3 linked regions of the Arabidopsis thaliana genome follow. The protein of the gene in region 1 binds, or shares a complex with, the protein of each later gene. Each region holds a gene or a part of one and is shown on either strand. Other genes may lie near its edges.

What was found.
Region 2: PTAC12 (region 1) and PTAC7 share a complex: the UniProt entries of both Arabidopsis thaliana proteins name them as parts of the transcriptionally active chromosome (TAC) complex.
Region 3: PTAC12 (region 1) and PTAC14 share a complex: the UniProt entries of both Arabidopsis thaliana proteins name them as parts of the transcriptionally active chromosome (TAC) complex.

Annotation. Positions count from the first base shown.
Region 1 is NC_003071.7:14,579,403-14,587,600, reverse strand, and holds PTAC12 (plastid transcriptionally active 12), read left to right. Parts: upstream 1-2,803; 5' UTR 2,804-3,056; intron 3,057-3,234; 5' UTR 3,235-3,255; coding exon 3,256-3,339; intron 3,340-3,456; coding exon 3,457-4,137; intron 4,138-4,227; coding exon 4,228-4,340; intron 4,341-4,414; coding exon 4,415-4,674; intron 4,675-4,756; coding exon 4,757-4,878; intron 4,879-4,954; coding exon 4,955-5,023; intron 5,024-5,117; coding exon 5,118-5,171; intron 5,172-5,261; coding exon 5,262-5,357; intron 5,358-5,435; coding exon 5,436-5,540; 3' UTR 5,541-5,766; downstream 5,767-8,198. Other genes in the region: GPS1 (geranyl diphosphate synthase 1), read right to left, coding at 5,969-6,148, 6,224-6,412, 6,494-6,626, 6,811-6,896, 7,092-7,163, 7,264-7,350, 7,442-7,573, 7,670-7,741 and 2 more. UniProt on the Arabidopsis thaliana protein: Involved in plastid gene expression. Acidic transcriptional coactivator necessary for the transactivation of many PIFs target genes (class B genes), particularly during the regulation of hypocotyl growth.
Region 2 is NC_003076.8:8,274,424-8,281,123, reverse strand, and holds PTAC7 (plastid transcriptionally active7), read right to left. Parts: upstream 3,425-6,700; 5' UTR 3,375-3,424; coding exon 3,333-3,374; intron 3,252-3,332; coding exon 3,204-3,251; intron 3,126-3,203; coding exon 3,042-3,125; intron 2,361-3,041; coding exon 2,025-2,360; 3' UTR 1,930-2,024; downstream 1-1,929. Other genes in the region: AT5G24316 (proline-rich family protein), read left to right, coding at 1,189-1,264, 1,374-1,414, 1,512-1,619, 1,699-1,851; AT5G24313 (uncharacterized protein), read left to right, coding at 3,773-4,018; ABIL3 (ABL interactor-like protein 3), read right to left, coding at 4,799-4,975, 5,056-5,183, 5,267-5,361, 5,436-5,478, 5,557-5,649, 5,753-5,852, 5,962-6,112, 6,192-6,274 and 1 more. UniProt on the Arabidopsis thaliana protein: Essential for chloroplast development, especially for thylakoid formation. Involved in plastid gene expression, probably by maintaining plastid-encoded RNA polymerase (PEP) activity.
Region 3 is NC_003075.7:10,875,373-10,883,981, forward strand, and holds PTAC14 (plastid transcriptionally active 14), read left to right. Parts: upstream 1-3,444; 5' UTR 3,445-3,541; coding exon 3,542-3,598; intron 3,599-3,653; exon of another isoform or gene 3,654-3,714; coding exon 3,715-3,870; intron 3,871-4,283; coding exon 4,284-4,421; intron 4,422-4,468; exon of another isoform or gene 4,469-4,503; coding exon 4,504-4,629; intron 4,630-4,713; coding exon 4,714-4,842; intron 4,843-4,942; coding exon 4,943-5,032; intron 5,033-5,120; coding exon 5,121-5,271; intron 5,272-5,377; coding exon 5,378-5,487; intron 5,488-5,562; coding exon 5,563-5,634; intron 5,635-5,727; coding exon 5,728-5,833; intron 5,834-5,917; coding exon 5,918-6,112; intron 6,113-6,203; coding exon 6,204-6,325; 3' UTR 6,326-6,680; downstream 6,681-8,609. Other genes in the region: VSR7 (VACUOLAR SORTING RECEPTOR 7), read left to right, coding at 195-492, 725-1,399, 1,478-1,593, 1,674-1,743, 1,828-1,988, 2,146-2,227, 2,318-2,400, 2,492-2,555 and 3 more. UniProt on the Arabidopsis thaliana protein: Essential for chloroplast development, especially for thylakoid formation. Involved in plastid gene expression, probably by maintaining plastid-encoded RNA polymerase (PEP) activity.

The sequences.
Region 1 (8,198 bases):
GTACAAAGTAGACAAATTATCAAAAGTCCAAGAGAACCGTTTATAGTTTATGTAATTATTTTGGGAATTCTTTTATTTCATGGAAAGCTGAGGAGCAAAACGAAGTGACTCGAACCAACATTGATATAGACGCATACGTATGGCTAATGTTACTTGTAACTTGATATAACTGCAATCGTTTCTACTTTTTCACAAGATTAAAGATTCACATCACCGAGTTTTTCTGCGATAACATGCCACACATACAAATTTTGTTTCTCATACACTTACTAAACACAAATATCAATTGTCACTCACAGCGTACGTGATGATATGAAGAAGAGTTTTCTCAAGGTAGCTATTTATGTTTGTAATGTCAACTAACATGATGCTATTATGACCGAAGCTCTTCCTCAAGATATTTTCATTCTCTATTCAGTCGAATTTCGTCAGTTTCATCACCCTCAAGACATTTCGATTGAATAGCTTGTAATGACGTGTTATAAGCAAGAGTACACATAGTTGCTCGAGGTTGGTAGAGCAACTTAGAACATTGTTAGCTACACTTGTTCAGTGACTAGCACGGAATTGTATATAGAAAACTGCCCACACGTTACTAAATTAATGAAAAATATCCTTTCACACAAATGCTTGTTGATATCTATCTCTGGTCTAGCTTTAAACTTGATATTTGTCTCATTACCACACAAAAACAAGGGAACATAGTAGGTGATCGGGTATATCTATATATATGTACATTAAATAACAATTTTTTGTATCATCGGACCAAGCTTGTGACGGTGAACAATTGAAATGAATGGAGTATAGAATAATTGTGATTAATAATTGAAAACACATAAAATAACATGATTTGTTAGATCTTGATTAATACTATAATAGAAAGAAGAGAAGTGTGACAACACATGGGATGTACCCAACAACACAAGGGACAGCTTCACCAGTCTGATTTATGCCACTGTCCCGTTCTTGTCCTCCCTCTGCCCCACCACTCCTTTGTTTTATTTCATCAGTAATAATACTACTAATTTTAGTTAGTGTTTAGATTAATCATAATGCAATAAACAAAGAAAAATATCTGATTTTTGGTAGAAAAACATACCAGCAGCTCATATACTATTAGTTCATATTTTTAACCGATAGTTGATTGTTAAAAAGAATGTTGATTCAAGAATTTTGTAAGAATTGCAACATTGTTGAACAACAGTGGCAAAACATACCATAAACTAATAGATACTAGTAACTATGATCACTGATCAAATAATGTATAAATCGGAGATTATTCTATGTAACATTTAACAAAAGTGTATTACAAGTAAATAAAGAATAAACTTTTTAAGTTACGAATGGTAAAAAACTAAAGAAATTTGTTAGTTCTCTGTTTGTATGCATGCATTGTCTCTCTGCTAAAATGTTCATGACAAGTCCACATCTACTCAAATACTCATCGAGGTGATTATCCTCGTCGTCGCTTTTATACACATGTAATATTACACACATCTATACATGGAGTATATTTTTAGCGAACGGATAGGTGCCATGTGGAGGTAAGTACACGTCGCCACTTGTGAGATTCTGTTCCAATTACTTGTGGAAGTGAATTATGTCGCAGAAAAAGTTTGACGAGATTTCCAATTAGCCACTCATTTATTAACGGTCACCAAAAGCATCAAATTACAGTTTTTTTTAGTGCTTTGAGATTCTTTTCCCTGACATATTGTTTTATGTAAAATAGCAAACTCGAAAAGATAGTAATAGTATCCAAATTATTATTATTACAGTATTATTTTTGATAAAAGGTTGTTATTCTTTTTTTATTTTTTTATTTATTGTATCTATTATATAATTCGAAACTGCTATATTGTTTGTCTTTAGTTTGCATCTCTAGCTTTATATATGCTTATGAAGTTTCAAATGTTGCTATTATATGCTGCTGATTCTTTTTTTCTTATGTAGGAGTATAGGTTTGACCGTTTGACAATACGAGAGGAAGAGGAAGTTGGGAAAAAACGACGCCGCATGGATAGTCTCGCTCGTTGCACGAATAGTTCAAAAGGTGACGTTAGGCGCGTGCGGGTCAGCGAAACTTGTGCCTAGTCAGACCTTTGTGGTATAGTCTTACGTGGTCTACGTCTGCCAAATTTCAGAAAACCAAAAAAACAATTATATGTTTGGTCCCTAGAAATAAATATTATCGTCGTTTAGCAAGTTTGAAGTAAGCAATAGTAGTATTAATGTATAAAAAGTGTAGGATATTAGGTTAAAATAGGCCTGTGATAGATACCGTAATGTCTATGATGTGTCTGGTCAGACCCATTTAATATTGGTTCAGACCATATTAGCACATTAGCCAATTGCCATTCACGTTGGGTCCAAACCTTCTTCCTTCTATAGTGTCTTAGACAAGTACGTACACACGCTGAAGTACAAATCATATACAAGTATTTATTCACTTAAAGGTACAATGATTGATGTTTTTTGTGTAACATGTTCCTCTAGTCCACTATATTAATCCATTACGGAGAGAACTATCTAAAAATTGTATAATCGCAATTGTAAATTGCAAATCTATTAACAAAACTAAGATGTGTTCACATGCATACTTCGATAAACATTCTTCCATATATCTTTTGTGTTAAGGCATGTTTTAAATGATCAAATCACATATTGATTTTATTTGAAAGTATATCAATATAATAAACTGTTTAGAAGATGTTTTGCCAAAAAAGAAAAAGATGTTTTGTTCTTCTTGGAAGTGTTTGTTAAAGCCCAAGAGAGACTTCAAGCTCACAATTTCTCAAAGATCCATTAATACTGGGCCTTAGTTAGATATACCAAGCCCATATACTTTCTCTTCACAAATTCCCGTTCTAATACCGGCGCGTCGTGAAATCTAGAGATTTTGCCGTCACCAGAATATGTTAATAAACGCAGGAGGAGATAAATGGATAAACCCAAAAACTGACAAGTGAAAACCTTTTGAAGCCAAAACCCCCTTCAAAATCAAGCTCCATGATAGAAAACCCTCTTCCTACATAATCTCCTGGTAAAACAAAAAGGTTAGTCTTTTTCTCCTCAACTTCGAGTGTGAAGCGTTTGTAAAAATGCCCAAAAAAATCGTACCTTGTTATGGACAATTTGTTGTATCAGGTTCTTCTTATCTGGGTTTTATGTTTTGTACTAGTTTGAAACTGATTCTGAGCATAATTGAATCGGTTGTTTTTGTAAATGATACAGTGAGAAGTAGAAAGAGTGTAAATGGCGTCAATATCAACCACCACCTGGCTCTACCGAGGTCAAGTATGCACAGACAGTGGAAAGTCCAGTAATTGTATTGTGCAGGTTGGTTCTTACACATCAAGTTTCTTGTTCTGATCCAAACTTATCTAATTTAGAGATAGTGAACATTTTAGCTTGTTTCAAGATGTCAAACTGGTAAAAGTTTGTTTATGTATGTAGAGACGGGTTAAATGTGGGTTTCCACTCAAGACATTGCATGCTGGGATTACTTCTAGGGATCGGTCTTTGCGACATTGTATCAAATGCAAGAAAGAGGATGGAGATGGTGATGTAAGTGAAGGGTCTAAGAAGAGTGAAGAAGGATTTGAGTATGTGACTGTTGAGAGGCATCCTTACCATAGTTATATGGATTCAACTTCTGGGAAGCTTGAGCCAGCGTCCGGGGCTCGGGCTAGTATTCCAGGTGAGGATTATTGGCCTGAAGGAACTTCGAGCCGGGTTAGAGCTGCTAGAGCTCCTCAACCAGCTGGTGAGTCTTCGAGTTTTCCTTCCTATGGAAAGAATCCTGGAAGTAGGAGAAAGAAGAATAGGAAAGCTACTGAGGAGAATGTGACTGTTGAAACGAATGACGAAGTATCCGATTCTGAGGATAGCTCTGAAGAAGAGGAAAATGATTCCTCGGATGGGTTTGTTACCTATAAGAATGAATTTGAGAGAGAAGAAGAGGAGACTGGTTTTGAATTAGACAAAAAGCTTGGAAGGCCACATCCTTTCATTGATCCTACGAAAAAGAAACAAATTGAAAAGACACTCACGAGCGATGAATCGTGGTGGAACTGGAGGAAACCGGAGAAAGAACAATGGTCAAGATGGCAAAGAAGACGTCCTGATGTTGAAACGGTTAGTCATCACAATGATTTCAGGTTTAAACATGTGTGTGTTTCCCCAATGTTTGATCCATTATGGTATTTTTTTTTGTTGTTGATGCAGGTTTTCCTCAAGGCAATGGCAGAAACAGGACAAGTGAAGCTCTATGGGGAAGAACCAACACTCACAGAAACTTCTCTTTATAGAGCAAGAAGGCATCTTTTCAAGGAAGAGAGGTATATTGATCTAACGAACTTTCAAGTGAAAATCTGTTTTATTAGGATTTTCTTTCGAGTTTTCTTTCTCTCAGGCTGCAAGCTGAGCGAGAGAGATTAGCGAAAGAAGGTCCAATGGCTTTTTATTCTGAATGGGTTAAAGCATGGAAGAGAGACACGTCAAGAGAAGCTGTACAAAAACATTTTGAAGAGACAGGTGAAGATGAAAACACACAACTGATTGAGATGTTCTCTCATCAAACAGATAGAGAATACCGGATAATGATGGGAACTGATATTAGGATCAAGAGAGATCCATTGGCAATGCGGATGAGGGAGGATCAAATTAAGCAAAGTAAGAAACTTTGACCGTTGAAGTTTGAACTAACTCATCATGGATATTCAATCGTTCGACTAACATTCTCGGTTTCTTGCAGTTTGGGGCGGGGATCCAGTTTACCCGACAATTAACTACATTCAAGATCCTAATGCGGTTATGGATTTCAGAGGACCTGATTTTCATGAGCCTACACCAAATATGCTCTCTTATCTAAAGGAGGTTAGTCTGCTTTGCTCAAAGTTCTATTCTTTTTCTTTCTTGGTCTGATTGTTTTCTTTGTTTCTGATTTGATCAGAATGGCAAAGTCATCTCAAGAGAGATGCATGAAGCACTACTGACAAAAGAGAAAACCGAGCAGCTCGAGGTAAAGTGACCAATCTTTCATTTCCTTTGACACAACTCTGATTGTGAGATTTCAGGGTTTCGCTTGATATGTTCGATAAATTGTATGAATGCAGGTACCTGACATGGATGATGCAATGGCACAAGCTGTTGATATTGGTGAAAACGATGTGAGTATCATCGATTACATCAGATCCTCTTCTTCTTTATTGTTTCTTGATGTATCATGCTCTGAAACATCTCCGGACATTTTTTGACAGGACGACGAAGACGATGCAGATGTAGAAAAAGACGACGAGAAAGTGCCGAGGAACTGGAGTGTCTTGAAGGAAACCCCTGAGCTTCGCACCGCCAAGGTAAAGTCACATTCAACTTGAGCCACATTATATGTCTTGTGTGGTGTGTTGATGTTATGAGCTTGGTTTCTTAAACAGCCTAAACCAAAGAAGGAAGGTCGGATGTCTCTAGACGAGGCCGTGGATGATGCTGAGAACTTAACTGATTTTCTCATGGACTTTGAAGAGGAGACTGATCCTTAAACCTGGTTTTCGTATTTCTTATGTAAAGACGTTATTTAGGGCAACTTTTTCTTCACTGGTTTTGCTTGTATACTTGGAAGGGATGATATCATTTAGGAGTGGATTTGAGTTTTGCAAGTGATTTGTATCATATGGAATTCAAATATTTTTGATTGAATTTATAGAGTTTTGAAAGTGATTTGTTAACTGTACTGCATCCTGTTTAGTTCAGCTTGAGACGGTTTAATCTGTTAAAACAAGACCTAAACCGAATTCGCAAGGAATATGATTTCACAATTAGTATCTGTCTCCTTTTTTTGTCATGTGTAGTTTAAAACCAAAGCCACAGCTTGTCAAACATTATTGTTTCGTGAAACGAATTGGACCAACAAAATCCTACAAATGAAATGAGGAATGTTTTGGTGTATAGAGAGAAACATTACTTAATCTCACTTGTTTCTGGTGATGACTCTATGGGTCAAGTCAATAAGTGCCCGCCTCGATCTTTTGACATCTTCATTGTCTGTTTCAGGTAGAGACCCGATTGCAGCTGCTGCTAGATTCGCATGTTCCATGGCTAATTCTCTTGCCCTCTGTATTCCCTTGCTCTTCCCAAGATACTCTAAAGCCTGTGTGATATAATAGTATTAGAGACTATGAAAACATATTATAGATTTTAGGAGATTTGTTTCTTTCAAACTTACAATGTCAACATTCCTAGGATCTTTTTCAACTTGATCAACAACTTCGCGTAGTTGAGGAAACTCTTCCATGGCAAAGAGGATTGGGGCTGTTATGACTCCATGGCGAATATCTGACAACGATCCCTTTCCGAGAGAGGCAGATGTGCCCGTGAAATCAAGAATGTCGTCTATTAATTGGAATGCTAAACCCTGAAAAATTAGAAGTTCATCAAAGTACTGTAAGAAAATTAGTTGCAATGGAGCCAAAGTTTTCAGAAGAAGACAACGAACCAGATTCCTCCCATACTCAAAAGCTAACACGGCAACTTCTGCTGTTTGTCCAGTGAGAACGGCAACAGCTTTGCAGCTGTTAGAGATTAGCGATGCTGTCTTATAATATGTCTTCTGCATGTAGTAGTCCATACTGCAATCATGAAAAAAATCATATTTGCATTACCGATCACTATTATATGAATTCCAGTTCCTATATAAGCCGCGATCGGGTTTTTGATGATAAAATCGACTCTTGTTTTGATTCTCAAACATACATTAGTAGCATAGAAGACTTGAGTAGTCTTGTTTTTATCGACCAGAAAAGAAGATTATACCTATAACGCTGCTCGGTTGAACTAGTTATCTCCATGGTTTCACCGGTAACAAGATGTTCTACAGCAGTTGCAAGTAATGCTACAACCTACAAAAAAAGAGACACAATGAAGATGTATGGCTTCGAAGAAGTGATAATTAATTCTGAAGACAGATGTCATTGATTCTAGATTGTATATCACGGGAGATTCAATATAGCCTGTCAACCACAGTATCTTATAAAAAGTAAAGATTTCTTCGAAAAGTTTAAAATACCAGGGTCACGTTTATTAGTTTCTTTTACCTCTGTGTTCTTTAAAGCAGCGAGAGCCCCACAAGCCCGGGAGAGCAAGAAGTCTCCTGCTAATACCGACATCTACAACATGAAGCCAATGGTGATCTTCATATCCAAATTGCAGCACAATCGCCAAAAAGCATATTTAATCATGTCTTAGCTTCTACTGTCAAGTGAGTACCTTGTTACCCATTACAACATTTAAGGAACCAACACCACGCCTTGTATCGGCATCATCCAAGACATCATCGTGCAGTAGACTTGCGACCTACAATGACCCGAGCATTACTAATTTTAAAAGGGAGGATACTGGATCTTGATCTTTAATGAATGTTATGAGTAAAACTATAGTTACTCACGTGTATCATTTCAGTGATTTCAGCAATACCCCGTTGCCTTACGCGTAATTCTGATGTGACTATATCTGTTGATTCCCCAATCAATGCTTCTGGAACTCGTACATTCAGAGCTGTCGCCATCAGCAGCAAAATCTACAAACATGATACCAGACTGGTTATGATACCAAGAGAGAATGAACCAGAACATGAAAACAAGATATGGTGACATAAAGAGATTATGGTCATTACAGTTGAACGAAACTGTTTTCCTTGCACACCCCTTTTGAAGAAGTACTCAGCAGCAGAGGCAAGCTTTGGAACCTAAACAGCAGAATATAGAAAAAAAATAGAGATTAGCTTCAGAACATCAGTAGCAAATTTGCTTTCACCACACCATTGTGCACACAATGAGTACTAATGAATGAAAAAAGGCCACTCACCTCGGCAAGTACCATCTCTCTCAACTTATTACTAAGAAGTGACAGCTCATCGGCAACAAGCGAAAATGGGTCAAGCTCCTCCTAGGAAAGGACAATCTTACTCTTTCAGCAGTCGGAAAAGAAAAGAAGTTACAGCAATAAATCAAAGTTAAAAAAACAATGACCAACTCAACAAGTTCAGTGACAAAAAGTGAGAAAATTTAAAGTTGGGGTTTGACAGTTTTTTCTTCTACAACTGAAGCAATGTCCAACAAAATTGAAGTATATGTGAAAGTTTAACAATAGAGGATGATAGTGAGCTAAGTACGAACCTCAACCAAGGAGCTACTCTGGTGATA
Region 2 (6,700 bases), on another chromosome or scaffold:
ATCTAATCTCAACCGTTAAAATTAAATATTATTTTTTTATTTTTTGTTCGAATAATAGTTTTATTAAAAGATTTATAATCACATCAATTTAAAAGTTTTATTTCAAATGATTATTTAATTTTTATAGATTTCATATATTATAAATATTATAAAACATTTTTCCTAAATATTTTAAATGTTTAATTAAATATAATATTTATCTTTTAATCAAGTATATATTAATTATGTCCTAAGATTTCTCATTTTTTAAGTAATTGAAATTGATGGAAATATAATAGATAAGGAAATGCTACAAATTAGGAATATTAATTAATTGATAATAATTGATAGCAATGGCATCTTTTGTAAATAAGTTTAAACTTGAGGATTTATTTGCTAAAATGGCTGCAAAAATGTATATATAGATAACAGTGTATTAATTAGGGGTAAAACAATAAAAAAATTTTTTTTCTTAATTTGTGTGAAATGAACTAAAAGGATAAGTAATATAAAACAGAGGGAAACGCGTTTTAAATTCCTTTTAATTTGGTCTCAATAGTTACAAAATATGTTTACTTGGCGTGAAAAGATTGCACCAAACCGTTTTATATCACTTATATAACAACATTCATCAGGTAGTTATGTTTGCCTTTTTTGAGTTTTAATTAAAATCGGATGAAAAAAGAAAAGTTACAAGATAACGTTTTAAAATGTTAGTCTCAATAGTTACAAGATTTAACATTAATTCTTTTTAATTTGGTCTCAGTACTTAATATTAATGGCTAGATGCCAAATGTCATTTGAACGGAATTTAATCAAAAGTTAAATAATAAAGACGAAGAAACAAATCTCATATTGTCTAAAATAAAATTTCTTAAAAATTTTTTTAAACAGAATCTATAACTTTTTATTATTATTTTAATCTTTCTAGATTTAGCTATTGAATACCCCTTCCTAAATTAAAACATATGGATTCTCTCAAGAGAGGAAACAATAATGGTATAACTTAATTATGGAGAATTCACATATTCGTTTTTGCTTTGACTATATTGATTGTCCATATTTTAGTTGATTACGGATTCATCTAGTCAATGTGATGCGTTATCTTCATAATTACGATTGACTACTATATATCTCTGTCTTCGTATATATGTGTATCTCAACTTATACTATAAAAATCAATTCACATATCACCAAAACAAAACAAAAATGAGAGAATCTGACTTAAGGATGAAGCTAGTGATACTAGTATCTTTCTTGCTCGTTCTCCCAATGTTTTCTTCAGGTATATAGATCTGATCAACTAACATATGCAAACTTATAGTAGCTTTAACATTTTATATAGGTCAATATAGAACTCCGAATTGAATAAATATGCTTCATATTTTTGTTAGGGATCGTTGAGACTTTGCATCATGACAACATCAACCGCAAGGTATTAACAATCACGGTTCTAAAAGCGTTATATATTTGATTACAAATATGCATCAAAACTAAAAACAAAAAGATATAAAACTTGTTGATTTAAAAAGGTTAAAGAGATGGTCATGAATGGAAGAAGAATCGATCTGGAGATGGACTACGCTGGGCCGCATCTAAGACCTCCCAAGCCATCCGACCCTACAATTCCAGGAACACAAGTACGTGCCCTATAGCAAAAATGAAGTATTACGAAAAGTGTCTTCCTTTTTTAATAGTGTATGAGTTTGGTTTTGAAAGGTTGATGAGGTTGTGACAAAGGAACCAACTGTCTATAACAAAGAAGACTATGGGGACTGGTCTCCAAGACCAATCCCAAAACGACCAATGCCATATGTACCTCCTCCTCCTCCTCCACCGACACGACGACCTCCTTTCACCACAAATCACTAGACCGTTACTTTTACTAAACTCTTGTCATTAGACTTTCGTCTTCATCTAGTAAATCTAAATAAATAAAATGAAATTTGGCCAAGAAAACAACAAAGCTGTGAATGCATTGATTTGGTTTTGGTAATACAAGAACAAAAGCTGTAAAGTACATTGACACTTTTTGTTATAATATATCAAGTGTAGTACTCCAACAAATAGCCAGGACCGGGTTTGTAAGGATCAGCTTCTACATAAGCCTCAGGGCGATCAAAGCCGAGATCGTTCACACGGTTGCTTAGAACATGAAAGATGGCTTTTTTGGAACCTCCATATTCGTCTCTGTTCTTGTCCACGTACTCTGTTGCTTCAGCTGCTACGCTATTGACAAATTCAAACCGATTGTCTTCCCTCAAAAGAAGCTGCTCTATGTCCATTGTCATTACCTTCCCAACTTCTCTTATCTTCCTTACTTGTTCTTCCACAAATGGAACTCTTTGCATTTTGTAACGCAACATATCGTCCTTCTTCGTCTACAGACAAAACAGGAGAACGACATAGAGAGATTAAAAGCGGGACAAATATAAACAAAGATTTTGCATTGTTCTGGCTTTGGTAATTATTGAAATCTCAAAACCTCATGAACCTGATAGGATCAAACAACAGAAACTGATAGTTTGTAGAATATAGTACAAGTAAAAAGATCACACTAATATTTTATGTAATGTGTAACTCCCACCTAAAAATCCCAGTATCTCAGATAAGACAATCTCCAATTTCTTGCATGTGCCATAGAGATAAGACCATGGTTACTTGAATATATATAAGTAAACACTAACTAGAGGTAAAAAGCCATGTTTCTTTAAGTTCATCAACAGTATAAGAACTAAAGCTAGCGTCTGAAATGAGCATAGTTCAACAAAGACACTTTTGAAACAGGTGTGTAAGCTAATTTGGAATCAAGAAGGGTAAACTAGAAATCGCAAAAACTCAGAGAAGACAATCTCCATCTCTCCTTCTATGCATCATATCAATTACTATGACTAAGTAAAGACTAACTAGAGTTAATAGTCATGCCTCATCAGTGAGTTAAAGCTAATCTGTGATCCTACTAAAAATTGCAACTTTTTAGAAATGTCGTCTCCAAGCAAAGAAAAACCCTTATTTTGATTCCTGATTCGACTTATGTCATAAACATGAAACTGGAAAATCACCAAAATATCAAGTTTAGTACTTACCAATGTTCTCCTCCGCCAAACACGGCGTCCATTATCATCTCTCTGAATCCCACAAGAAACCTGAAAAAATCAACCAGATTCACTCAAAACTCTCCCCCAAAAACCCACAAATTCGTATATATATCAACCATTCAAAACCTGAGACTGAAATGTGCATCGCAAATTCCCACTTCTCGTATCAATAATCTGAATATACAATAATTGAAAATGAGAAATCACATTGACATCAAAGGATGATTATGAGAGAAGCAAAGGAGGGATTTTTACAGGTAAAATCGAAGATGGAGAAGAACAGGTGAAGGAAGCCATTGATACACAGTGAATAGATAGAACCGGATCCTATTTTATATGTAAGCTTCTCCGGTTCGGTTTAATGGTTTATCTTTGGTTGTGTTCGTATTTGGACAAATCATTCCTAACCGAACCGGGCATTTTTTTTTCTCGTCATTTTATCTATACAATAATAATTCAACTTGCACAAAAAAAAAATCTAAAACAAATCAAAACTAACAACAAATCTAAAATCATATAATTTTACTTGGTACACAAAAATAATATTTTTCAGAAATCAATCAATCTAATAATAGTTAGTGGGAACCCTCTATTGTGACTTTGTGAGCTATGTATATACATAAGACATTACAAGATGGAACCTCAACATAGTTGATAAGCAAAGAAATTAACTCTATCGATCACCGGATGAGAAAATGGCTTCTAGGAATCATCTCTTAATATGTTGTGTTCTCTTAGCTATGATCATGATCGGGCATGCTCAAACCAACCGGAAACTTCTTGACGATAATGTACCATCATCTTATTTTCCATCGATGGAGTCTCGTCAGGTTTTTCTTCCTTCTTCTCATCGTTCACTTGTTGCTGAGCATTACGACAGATCACCACCTCCACCACCACCCAAAAGATCAGAAGTTGAACCCCAAACTGATGGTGTCTAGACCATTGAGTGATGGTGAGAATCGGCCCTGATGAAAAGACTCGTGAGTTGGTACCATGTTTTGAAAGAGCATACATATGTTTTGATGTTTGGTTTTATGATCCGGTTTATAAGAGCTACCTAATTTTTGAAGGCTTGGTTTGATTTAGTTTTCTTTGCTTTCTAAAGTAAAATCTCCGGAAAAGTTGTCTCTGTTTTTTTCTTCTTTATTTTTATCTGTATACGTGTACTTCATTCTTGGTGACAATAAATTTGACTTGTTTCAAATTAATTAATGTAATATTTGTAAATGGTAAGTTAATACAACAGAAAAGTCGATGATACTATCTTTTTGAATAGGTAGATTTACCGAACGAATACCACATTACCACGGCTTAAAAAAAAAAAAAGAAAAAAGGGAGGATTAGTCTCAAACATTCTTAATCAATTTCAAAAACTGGATAAATAAAAGCAAAAGTTTCAAAAACATAATTATTCTTGCAACAGTAATTGATGCAAAATATATATTAAACTGTCAAATAATATTTCGAGAACGAAATTGTATATATAAACTTGCTGTTAATTTGGTTAAAATCGGCAGTAAAATAATTCACAGCAAGTTTTACTACGCTTGTAAACAAAACTGCATTCACACTCTGACAGTCATAAGGTATACACAAAATCATAGAATCATGGACATATTTTGTAACACATATATTGACAATTTGACATTACGTAAATGCAATTAAAACTGGAATGTAATTTCCGGTTTACCAGTCAACATACAAAACCAGCTTTCGGTTTAATATTCGTCCAAATAAGTGTAGAGCGTATCGTCCTTCTTTGTTTTGCGTCGGCTAAGTAGCGCCTTTAGCAGCCGTTTGCTCTTGCTCGGTTGTTGTTGATGCTCTGGTTCTTTCTGAGCTTCTTTCTCGAACGCAACCCGAACCGAAGCCGATCTTCTTGGTTCTGACGGATACTGAGCCAGAAAATATCAAGAATCAACCGTTAGAGATAGAGCCTAGAAGTGAGTGTTTTTGAAATGTAACCGAAGCTTACCCGTTTAGGAGTTGGAGTTACCGCTCTACTCTTGCTCGGGGTTGTTGGCCGGCTGATTGATGACGGTCGGATAGCAACCGAACCAGATCTTAGCAGCGGAAACCGATGTGGTGATACTGCTCGCTTATCTATTTTACCATGCACACTGTTTAAAGGTTCTGTTTACATATTAAGCCAAAAACGGCAATTTCAAGGTGAAGCTGTCTTTTACCTTGTTCTTTCTTTGGTGCGGTGGCGATAGAGGAGAACGAAAAGGTTGCTGAACGTTGAGGTTTCCGTTGAGAGGGAGACTGAAGTATCGGTTTTCTGCAAAAAGCGATAAAAGTTTAGTACTTCTCGGTCATTTGACAAGGGAACTCACTATGAGTACTGGACTATACCTAACAGGTGGTGGAGGCGTTTCACGAATTGTAGCGCGAACAGCTTTAAGAATTCACAACAAGAAACATATCAAATCAAGAATCAAGGCAATTTCTAAGTAAATGAAATGGCAATTTATACCATTTCTGAATTGGTTCCAGTCATCTTCTCCATCAAAACTACCTTCAACATTCTTAAGCTTTGCGAGGTTGCCACCTCTTTTGATTTCACCAGCTGATAGAGAATTTCGTTTTTGTTAGCTGAGTCCCAAAACCGACAAATAAGAGAACGAAAGTTTGTAGAAACATATAGGGAACTTTGGAGAGTCGAAACTTACAAGGCAAGAAGTACCGCTTGTGGAACTTTGGAGTGTCGATCACAAGTGATTGCTGGGAACGACCTTCATGATCCATGTACTCTTGGCACATCCGTAGCCTCTATACACATATAAGAAAGTTCAGTAATACAAACAAGAATCATTCTCAAAAATGCCAACTGAATAAAACTAAAGCAGAAATATCTGTCCATTTGAAGAATAATGGATACCTGTTCAATGCAAGATACTCGCAGTTCGGTTCCTGCTACTTCATCGACTTTTTCATCTACAAAGTCATTTACTTTATATGTAACAGACCCCAAATGGTCAACTGTATTCACCAGAGCCTTTATTGCATAATCTTTCAGTGTCTCCACGACTCTACATACACAAGTAAAAACTTACAAAACTCCAAGAAAAGAGAACAATCACAATTAGGGAGAGGAATAAACTCACTCACATCTGTTTTTGTTCATCGTTTGTGTAGGATAGTTCGAAATACTCAGCTGCTGAATACAACTGTGTTCTCAGATTCTTCAGATCCTGTATAACAAAGATGTTTACTAAACTATTTGCAGAACATGTAAACAGAAGATTTAAGGCTTTAGCAATGATCACAAAATCCATTAAGATTATTCAACTTGATACTTTAGAATCTACCTTGAGACTATCAGAGAAGAGCATGCTCTGTTGCATAGAGATCTCATCGTAATTAGACGCTTCTCGGGGCATAGGCATTGTAGCTGCTGCACTCATTTTTAATTCAAAGATTAACAGTGGAATCTCAAATGCTGCTTTCTGTTTTCACTGTGGAAATGAAATGATCAAACAAGAATGAAGAAAACAAATAGTCAAATCTTCAGCGATGGTATTTGTAAGAATACTCGAAAATTTCAAGCTGCTAGCAAAATGAAACTAAAGCAACTAATATTGGTCTAGAGTGTTTTAAATCCATTTTAAGGAATTTAA
Region 3 (8,609 bases), on another chromosome or scaffold:
TTTGACGTTTCTTTGTTATTTATATAAACTATAGTATGCTATCATCTTCAATCAGAAACAGTTCCACAGAAGTTTTCTGTTTTAACTTTTCCTCTGTTTTTGATTTTTCTCTCTGAATCTCTCCTTCATTTCCCCGGGAAATAGTACCAGAAAGGTTATCATCGATCAAACTCTTCTTGGTGGATTCTTCAGAGATGGGTTTAGTCAACGGGAGAGCTTCGTTGACCTTTCTCCTCGCGGCGTTGACCATCATCGCTATGGTCGTCGAGGCTAGGTTTGTGGTGGAGAAAGAAAGCATAAGCGTGCTGAATCCAGAGGAGATGAGGTCGAAGCACGACGGCTCGATAGCCAATTTCGGTTTACCCGATTACGGTGGGTTTTTAATCGGGTCAGTGGTTTATCCGGATAGTAAAACCGATGGATGCTCTGCTTTTGGTAAAACCTTCAAGCCCAAGTTTCCTCGTCCCACTATTCTGCTTCTTGATCGTGGAGGTAAAAAAGTTAAAAACATCTTTAAAAGTTAAAACCTCTGTTTTGTCCATTTACTGTTGTTTTGTTTGAGTTCAAAGATTTAAACTTTAGTCTGCTATGTTATTAGCCAATAGGACTTTATGGGTTATGCTGCAAAAATACATTTTGAGCAGAAAGATATATTTTTTTTACAAAGAAAGATTAAAAGTTTAATCTCTCAAGTAATCTTTGCTCCATTATTGGATGTTTTTAGGTTGCTACTTTGCCTTAAAAGCGTGGCACGCGCAGCAAGCAGGCGCGGCTGCAGTTCTTGTGGCGGATAATGTAGACGAGCCATTGTTGACAATGGATTCACCAGAGGAGAGCAAAGATGCGGATGGTTTCATAGAGAAGCTAACAATCCCATCGGTGTTAATCGATAAATCATTTGGAGATGACTTAAGACAAGGGTTTCAGAAAGGGAAAAACATAGTTATAAAACTAGATTGGAGAGAGTCTGTGCCTCATCCTGATAAGAGAGTAGAATATGAGCTGTGGACTAATAGCAATGATGAGTGTGGTGCACGGTGTGATGAACAGATGGACTTTGTCAAGAACTTTAAAGGTCATGCTCAGATACTCGAAAAAGGCGGTTATACCGCGTTTACGCCGCATTATATTACTTGGTTTTGCCCTTTTCAGTTTATAAACAGTCCACATTGTAAGTCTCAGTGTATAAACCATGGGAGGTATTGTGCTCCTGACCCTGAGGATAATTTCAGAGAAGGGTATGAAGGGAAAGATGTTGTGCTTGAGAATCTGAGACAGCTTTGTGTGCATAGAGTTGCGAATGAGAGTAGCAGGCCTTGGGTTTGGTGGGATTATGTTACCGATTTTCATTCTCGATGTTCGATGAAGGAGAAGAAATACAGCATAGATTGTGCTGAGAGTGTCATCAAATCTCTGAGTAAGAATCTTTTTTCTTTTCCTTTTTAGATTTTAAAGAAAGAGAGTCTTCTTTGTTTAGGTTATGAATCTTTAAGACTTTTTTCAGATTTACCTATTGAGAAGATCAAGAAATGCATTGGTGATCCTGAGGCTGATACAGAGAACCAAGTTCTGAGAACTGAGCAAGTATCTCAGGTTAGTTTCTTAATCTATCTTTATTTAGAGTTTTGAAGAAACATTTCAGAGGTTTGGTTACTAACTGTAACTATTTCAAGATTGGCCGAGGAAACCGGGGAGATGTTACGATATTGCCAACATTAGTCATCAATAACGCTCAATATCGAGGTTTGGTACTTGATATTTTTTCAGTTTCACTCTCTCTTTATGAAGATGCTGAAGTTTCTGTTGTTATTGGTTGCAATTGTGAAGGGAGATTGGAGAGAACCGCGGTTTTAAAGGCGATATGCGCTGGTTTTAATGAAACATCGGAGCCTGCCATTTGCTTAAACACAGGTCTAGAGACAAATGAGTGCCTTGAAAACAATGGTGGTTGCTGGCAGGATACAAAAGCAAACATCACTGCTTGTCAAGTATGTCGTAAAACCGAGCTTACCACATCACATCTCACCACTATATTGAATATCAGTATCAATTTGTTTGGAATTGTTTTGAAAACTAGAGAAAATGTGAAAATCTAGAGAGATATTTTCTAGTCCTATAATACTTGAATCTTTTTTGTTTGATCAGGACACATTCAGAGGAAGACTCTGCGAGTGTCCGGTTGTAAAAGGTGTTCAATATAAAGGAGACGGGTACACTTCATGTACACGTAAGTTGTTCACACATTTCACACAACATAGCTCTCAAATGTTGAGACCGGTTTCTTGAATAGTCTCTGGTTTGTGATTGAGCTTTGCAGCTTATGGGCCTGCGAGGTGTACTATGAACAATGGAGGTTGCTGGTCTGACACAAGGAACGGCTTAACTTTCTCTGCTTGCTCAGTTTAGTGATTCTCTTGTCATAAGCCAAACCCTCCCTTACAAAGTTCTTGTTTTCAGTTCAATCATCTCTTTGTTATTTATGAAAAATTAGGACTCTGTATCTACTGGCTGCAAATGTCCTGAAGGTTTCCAAGGCGACGGTTTGACGTGTGAAGGTACATAACTCTTAACTTATCGATTAAAATCTCGAAAGAAACCACATAATCATATTACCAACAATGTAATTATGTTTTCTGATTTGGCTCTATTGCAGATATTAACGAATGTAAAGAGCGTTCGGTATGTCAATGTAGCGGTTGCAGATGCAAGAACTCATGGGGTGGATACAAATGCAGCTGTTCTGGTGACCGGCTTTACATAAACGATCAAGATACTTGTATAGGTAAAATTTTATCAATCAAGATTTAAGAGTACTCAAATTCCATAACAGTATCTAATTAATATACATTGATGATTGTTTGTTACAGAGAGATATGGATCCAAAACGGCATGGTGGCTCACATTCTTGATACTGGCTATCGTTGCAGTAGCCGGTTTAGCTGGTTATATATTCTACAAATACCGGTTCAGGGTACTACTACTCTTTCTGATTCCACAAAAGCATTTTTGTACTTAATAACGGTTTTAGGATTACCAAACTAACTTTTCTTTGGTGTTCCTATTAACAGTCTTACATGGACTCAGAGATTATGACGATCATGTCACAGTATATGCCACTTGAGAGCCAAAGAGCTCGTGAAGTTCCATCAGAAGCCGAGCCTTTTACACTCTAATAGTATATGACCAAAGTAACCAAAACTGTCATACACAAAGAAATGTTTGAGATCAATTAATGTACATATGAATTATACTGTAAAAATAAAAGAGTGAGATAGAGTTGTGTATATTTTCATGGCAAAAAAATAAATAATTTGGATGTAAAGAGACTTTTGAAGAAAATAAAACAAATATTGCTTTCATTGAGAGTTGAACTCAAGACCTCCCGCTTACTAAACGGGTGCTCTAACCAACTGAGCTATGAAAGCTTCTTGCAACATATTATTCCAAATAAATTATATCGTAAACTAAGAGTTAAAATCTTGAAAACAAAGGATAACGATCTTCGTCTCCCTCTGCTAAACCCATTTTCTTCTGTTGAGGAATGGCTTCTTCAGTCTCTCTTCAGTTCCTGACCAACACCTTTATCTCCAAACCTCAGGTTCTTAATCTTATCTCTCTGTATCACCTAATGTTTCTATGTCATGTGTGTGTGTGTGTGTCTGTCTTTGTCTGAATTTTCTGAGTACTCCTCATGTTTTTTCCGGTCGGACAAAGGGTTTCTGCAACGGAATTGTGTCAGCACCAAGACCCAGAAGCAATTTATTAAGAGACAGACAAAATGGTGTACGACCCATCAAAGTTGCGTCTATTGAGACACAACCTTTCCCTCTGTTTCAATCTCCTGCTTCCGAAGAATCTTCCTCGTCCGAGGTTAGGATTTTCAGTTTTGAGTGTTTTAGGGTTTATAGAGTTCTAAAAGGCAGTACCTTTGACAATTCTTTGCATTGCCCCTATCTGGGAGATTGATTTAGAGTACAAATGAGTTCTAAAGGTAGTACCTTTAGACAATTCTGTTCATTGCCCCCATATGTGATATTGATTTAGGGTACATATGAGTTCTTAAGGCAGTAACTTTAGACAATTCTGTGCATTGCCTCCATCTGTGAGATTGATATAGGGGACTTCTTAAGGCAGAAACTTTAGACAATCTTGTGCATTGCCCTCATCTGTGAGATTGATGTAGGGTACAAATGAGTTCTAACGGCAGTAACTTTAGACAATTCTGTGCATTTCCCTCATATGTGAGATTGATTTAGGGTTTTTGTCTTTTGTTTCTTCACTAGCTGGAGACAGCAGATCCGGATTTCTACAAAATTGGCTATGTTCGAAGTGTGAGAGCTTATGGAGTTGAGTTTAAAGAAGGTCCAGATGGTTTTGGTGTCTATGCTTCTAAGGATATCGAACCTCGCCGTCGAGCTAGAGTCAGTCTTCTTAGTTAAAAAGTTGACAACTTTTTGTTTTGTTCTTCTCTTTAGATTATTTTGTTTTCTTTTCTCTCTGCAGGTGATTATGGAGATTCCTCTTGAACTGATGATAACCATTAGACAGAAGCACCCTTGGATGTTTTTCCCTGATATTGTACCAATTGGTCATCCTATTTTCGATATCATTAACTCGACTGATCCTGAGGTAGTAACACATTTGTGCTATTTCGATATCATCAACTCGAAAGTTCTTATCTTTCTCAAAGTCCTTTCACATTTGTGCTTACAGATTGATTGGGATATCAGATTAGCGTGTCTTCTGTTATTCTCTTTTGATCGAGATGATCACTTCTGGCGGCTCTATGGCGATTTCCTGCCGGCTGCTGATGAGTGCAGCAGCTTGCTTTTAGCTACAGAGGTGGATTGAATTGATATGATTGCCATTTGAAACTGGTCACATTTACTTGTGTCTTTAAACTAATGCTTGATGATATCTAATTCTGTGTGTTTTTCTATAGGAAGACCTTGCGGAGCTTCAAGATCCTGATCTTGTTTCAACTATCAGACAACAACAGAAACGAATCCTAGATTTTTGGGAAAAGAATTGGGTAATGAGGCCTTATATATGTGTTTCCAGTATATCTTGACATTTGGTTATTGCTTTGTTTTTCATTGGCAAATTGTATTCCGTCTCAGCATTCAGGTGTTCCTCTCAAAATCAAAAGGCTTGCCGAGGATCCAGAAAGATTCATATGGGCGGTTAGTATGGCACAGACACGATGCATCAGTATGCAAACTAGGGTCGGTGCTTTGGTTCAGGAATTAAATATGATGATTCCTTATGCTGGTAAGGAAGAGCATGTTGTGTAGTTATTGATAAATTAAGATTTAGTATCAATGAACTTTTTGTTGAGGAACTAAATAAGAATCTCACGATTGATCATTCTCTGCAGACATGCTAAACCACTCATTTGAACCAAACTGTTTCCTACATTGGCGTCCTAAAGATCGCATGCTGGAGGTTATGTCAAATGCTGGTCAAGACATTAAGAAAGGCGAAGAGGTAAGAGACTCAAATGTTCCTAAGTGTCAGCCTCACTTCACTGCTTTATCTATCTTCTTATAATGCTTTTCACAGATGACGATTAATTACATGCCAGGCCAGAAAAACAACATGCTTATGGAAAGATACGGCTTCTCAACTCCTGTGGTAATGCTTTTTACGACAATCACATTCATCTTACACAAACTATGTTTCCTTTGCAAGTTTTCTCGTTTATTCAGTTTTTCTGGTCTGCTGCAGAATCCGTGGGATGCTATAAAGTTCTCTGGAGATTCTCGCATCCATTTAAATTCCTTTTTATCGGTCTTCAATATTTATGGTCTTCCTGAAGAATATTACCATGACAGTAAGTTCCTTTTCTTCTGTTTCCTCTCTATTCCTTGACAAAAGATGGAGAAATGAGCACCAATGTTACCTAAATCTGTGGCAGGCGAGTTATCGAGGGGCGATACTTTTGTTGATGGAGCAGTTATCGCTGCAGCAAGAACATTACCTACTTGGTCAGACATAGATCTTCCTCCAATACCGAGTGCGGAAAGAAAAGCAGTTAAAGAATTGCAAGATGAATGTCGAAAGATGCTTGCGGAATATCCCACAACAGCAGAGCAAGACCAGAAGTTGCTAGGTATTACACTAAAGATATATACACCAATGTGTTATTATCTATTATCGCTCATATACTAAAACTTAAGCTTTCCCTCTTGTTGTTGTGACAGATTCAATGTCAGAAGCAAGGACAACATTTGCAACAGCGGTTAAGTATAGAATGCACAGAAAGATGTTCATCGGAAAAATTATCAAGGCACTTGACATCTATCAAGAACGGTTACTCTATTGATTCAAGCAAAAAATAATTATGAGCTGAGTGAGATTCATACTTGGTGCTCACTCCCTTGAGCTACTTAGAAACTGCACCATGTAATTGAAAGGTTCCTGTTTTTTTTTTTGTTTAGTGTAAGGTTATGTATTTGTATGGAACAGTTAGACTAAGTGTGTTAGTTTGTTTTAATCGCAATCACAAACAAATCATAACCTCTTCTTTTCTTGGCTGCTTTAATGAGTTTGATTAGCCAACAAACGCTTTGGAATCATCTGTGTTTTTTTTTTCTCTTTTGATTAATTCATGTTCATGTTTTTAGTCCCTAAGCATGATTAGTGTCTCAAATGTTTTAGGGTAATTGTGTCTCTTACGCCGAACTATAATGTTGATTAGTCTCAATAATTGATTATTACTTATACTATTTATTAACCTTGTGGTTACACTAATCAATCAAATCATATTGCGTTTCTTCTACTCTTTGTCTAACATTACTATTTTCAAAAAAAGTTACGGTCCAAACCAAACAAACCTACTCTGAGTTATACAGAACCATAAGCAATCTATTTCTTACCTTTGGCTACTTATTTGATACTTTACATTGACTAACTTGATTCTTAATAATTATCTTCAATATGTTGAATATTTTATTTTTGAAGTAAGACCACTATGCGTTTCATAATTCTTGCCATGCATAATGAAATTATTCCTTTGAATTTAAGATTAATTAAAGTATAAATCAACCAAACAATAGACAAAAAAAAATAAAAAAAAATAAGCATCTTGATCTTTTTGGTGGATCGAAGATAATTCCTTTGTCTCATTCTTTTGGATTTAGAATCTCGTTCAGTAGAATATTAACATTTTTAATTATAGATTATCAATTATCGAACAAGTTGTTGTACGTAAACTTGATTCGATCTAGCGTTATTACAGTCAACCAAAATTTATATAATAATAACAATTTATGAAAATGACAATATTATTCGATGTATTATTCCTTTTTTCCTATAATTAGATAGGTGTGATTAAATTCAAGCTAGATTCCGAATCGACAACAACATATTATATCTATTATTAACCTCAATTTTTGAAGGCAAAAAACACACGAAATTATTCAAAACTCACGAGTTGATTCTTTACTTCGATGAACATATAAATTGGGAAAGTATCACCGAACTTATTTGGGTAATAAAGAAAAAGATGGATGAAAAAATTATGTTTGCAAATTTTAATAAGAATTATGTTTGACTTGGTAATAAAATATAGGGCATAATCATATGATGCCATGTTAATGTACGATCATACCACAACTGCTCTCCTTGTCGTGAAAAGGTTGAAGTGATGAGAAGCTAACACACTTTGTGACATAACCAAAGCCAAAAATATATACTTCAACCAAGTCATTTTCTCAACCACTCTTTTCTCCTTGTCCAAGGTCAAAGCCATGCATCACCATTTTATTTTCTATTATTCATTATTGTTACTTTTCCTTTATATAACTAATAAAAGGTCTATTACTAATAAACAACTAAACTTTTCTTTTCTTTTTGATAAAATTAAACAACTAAACTTGTCGAAAAGAAATAGGAGAACAAAGAACTCTAACTTCTCACGAAATTGATAAATCAAATGATTGCGTATCACAAAGACACTAAAAAGAAAAATTAAGGAATCGTGTAGAGTTGACACTCTATACATTCAGAGTAGTAATCATGTGTTTGATAGATAATAAATAGATAATGGAAGTATGAAATGAGAAAACTTGTTGGGATCATTTATCATTTGTGGAATCCTCTAAATCTTTTCTAACTTAACTCCAAGTCGTTAGAGTCCAAGAGATATGAATCGATCGGAACTTCAATACAGAATTTAATTAGAATATAGTGGAACAACATCCACGAATCTAAATGTCATAAGTTGTTAATTGATCAAACGAAATAGAATGTACTTATTATAAGCTTATAATTTTACAAGTTTGATGTGAATGTAAAGTGTACTACTCCACTATTTATTTATATATTCTGTGGTTTCTAAAGAAGACCAAATGTTTTTTTTTTTTTCTTTCCTAAGAAGACCAAATGTTATGTCAAAGTTTAGGCACTGTTTTAATTATATAACATGTCTCCACGGACGAATAAATGTACACACGAACATCATAGTACGACCGTTGACCTTTGCCCCTCCATTGATTGATAAAAGGCTAAAAGCCGAAACATTTTCATTCTACGAGCCTTCCCATTCCATTTCCCCACATCTCTCCTCTGACCTCTCTTTGACCCCTCTCTCCTCTCTCTCTAGATCT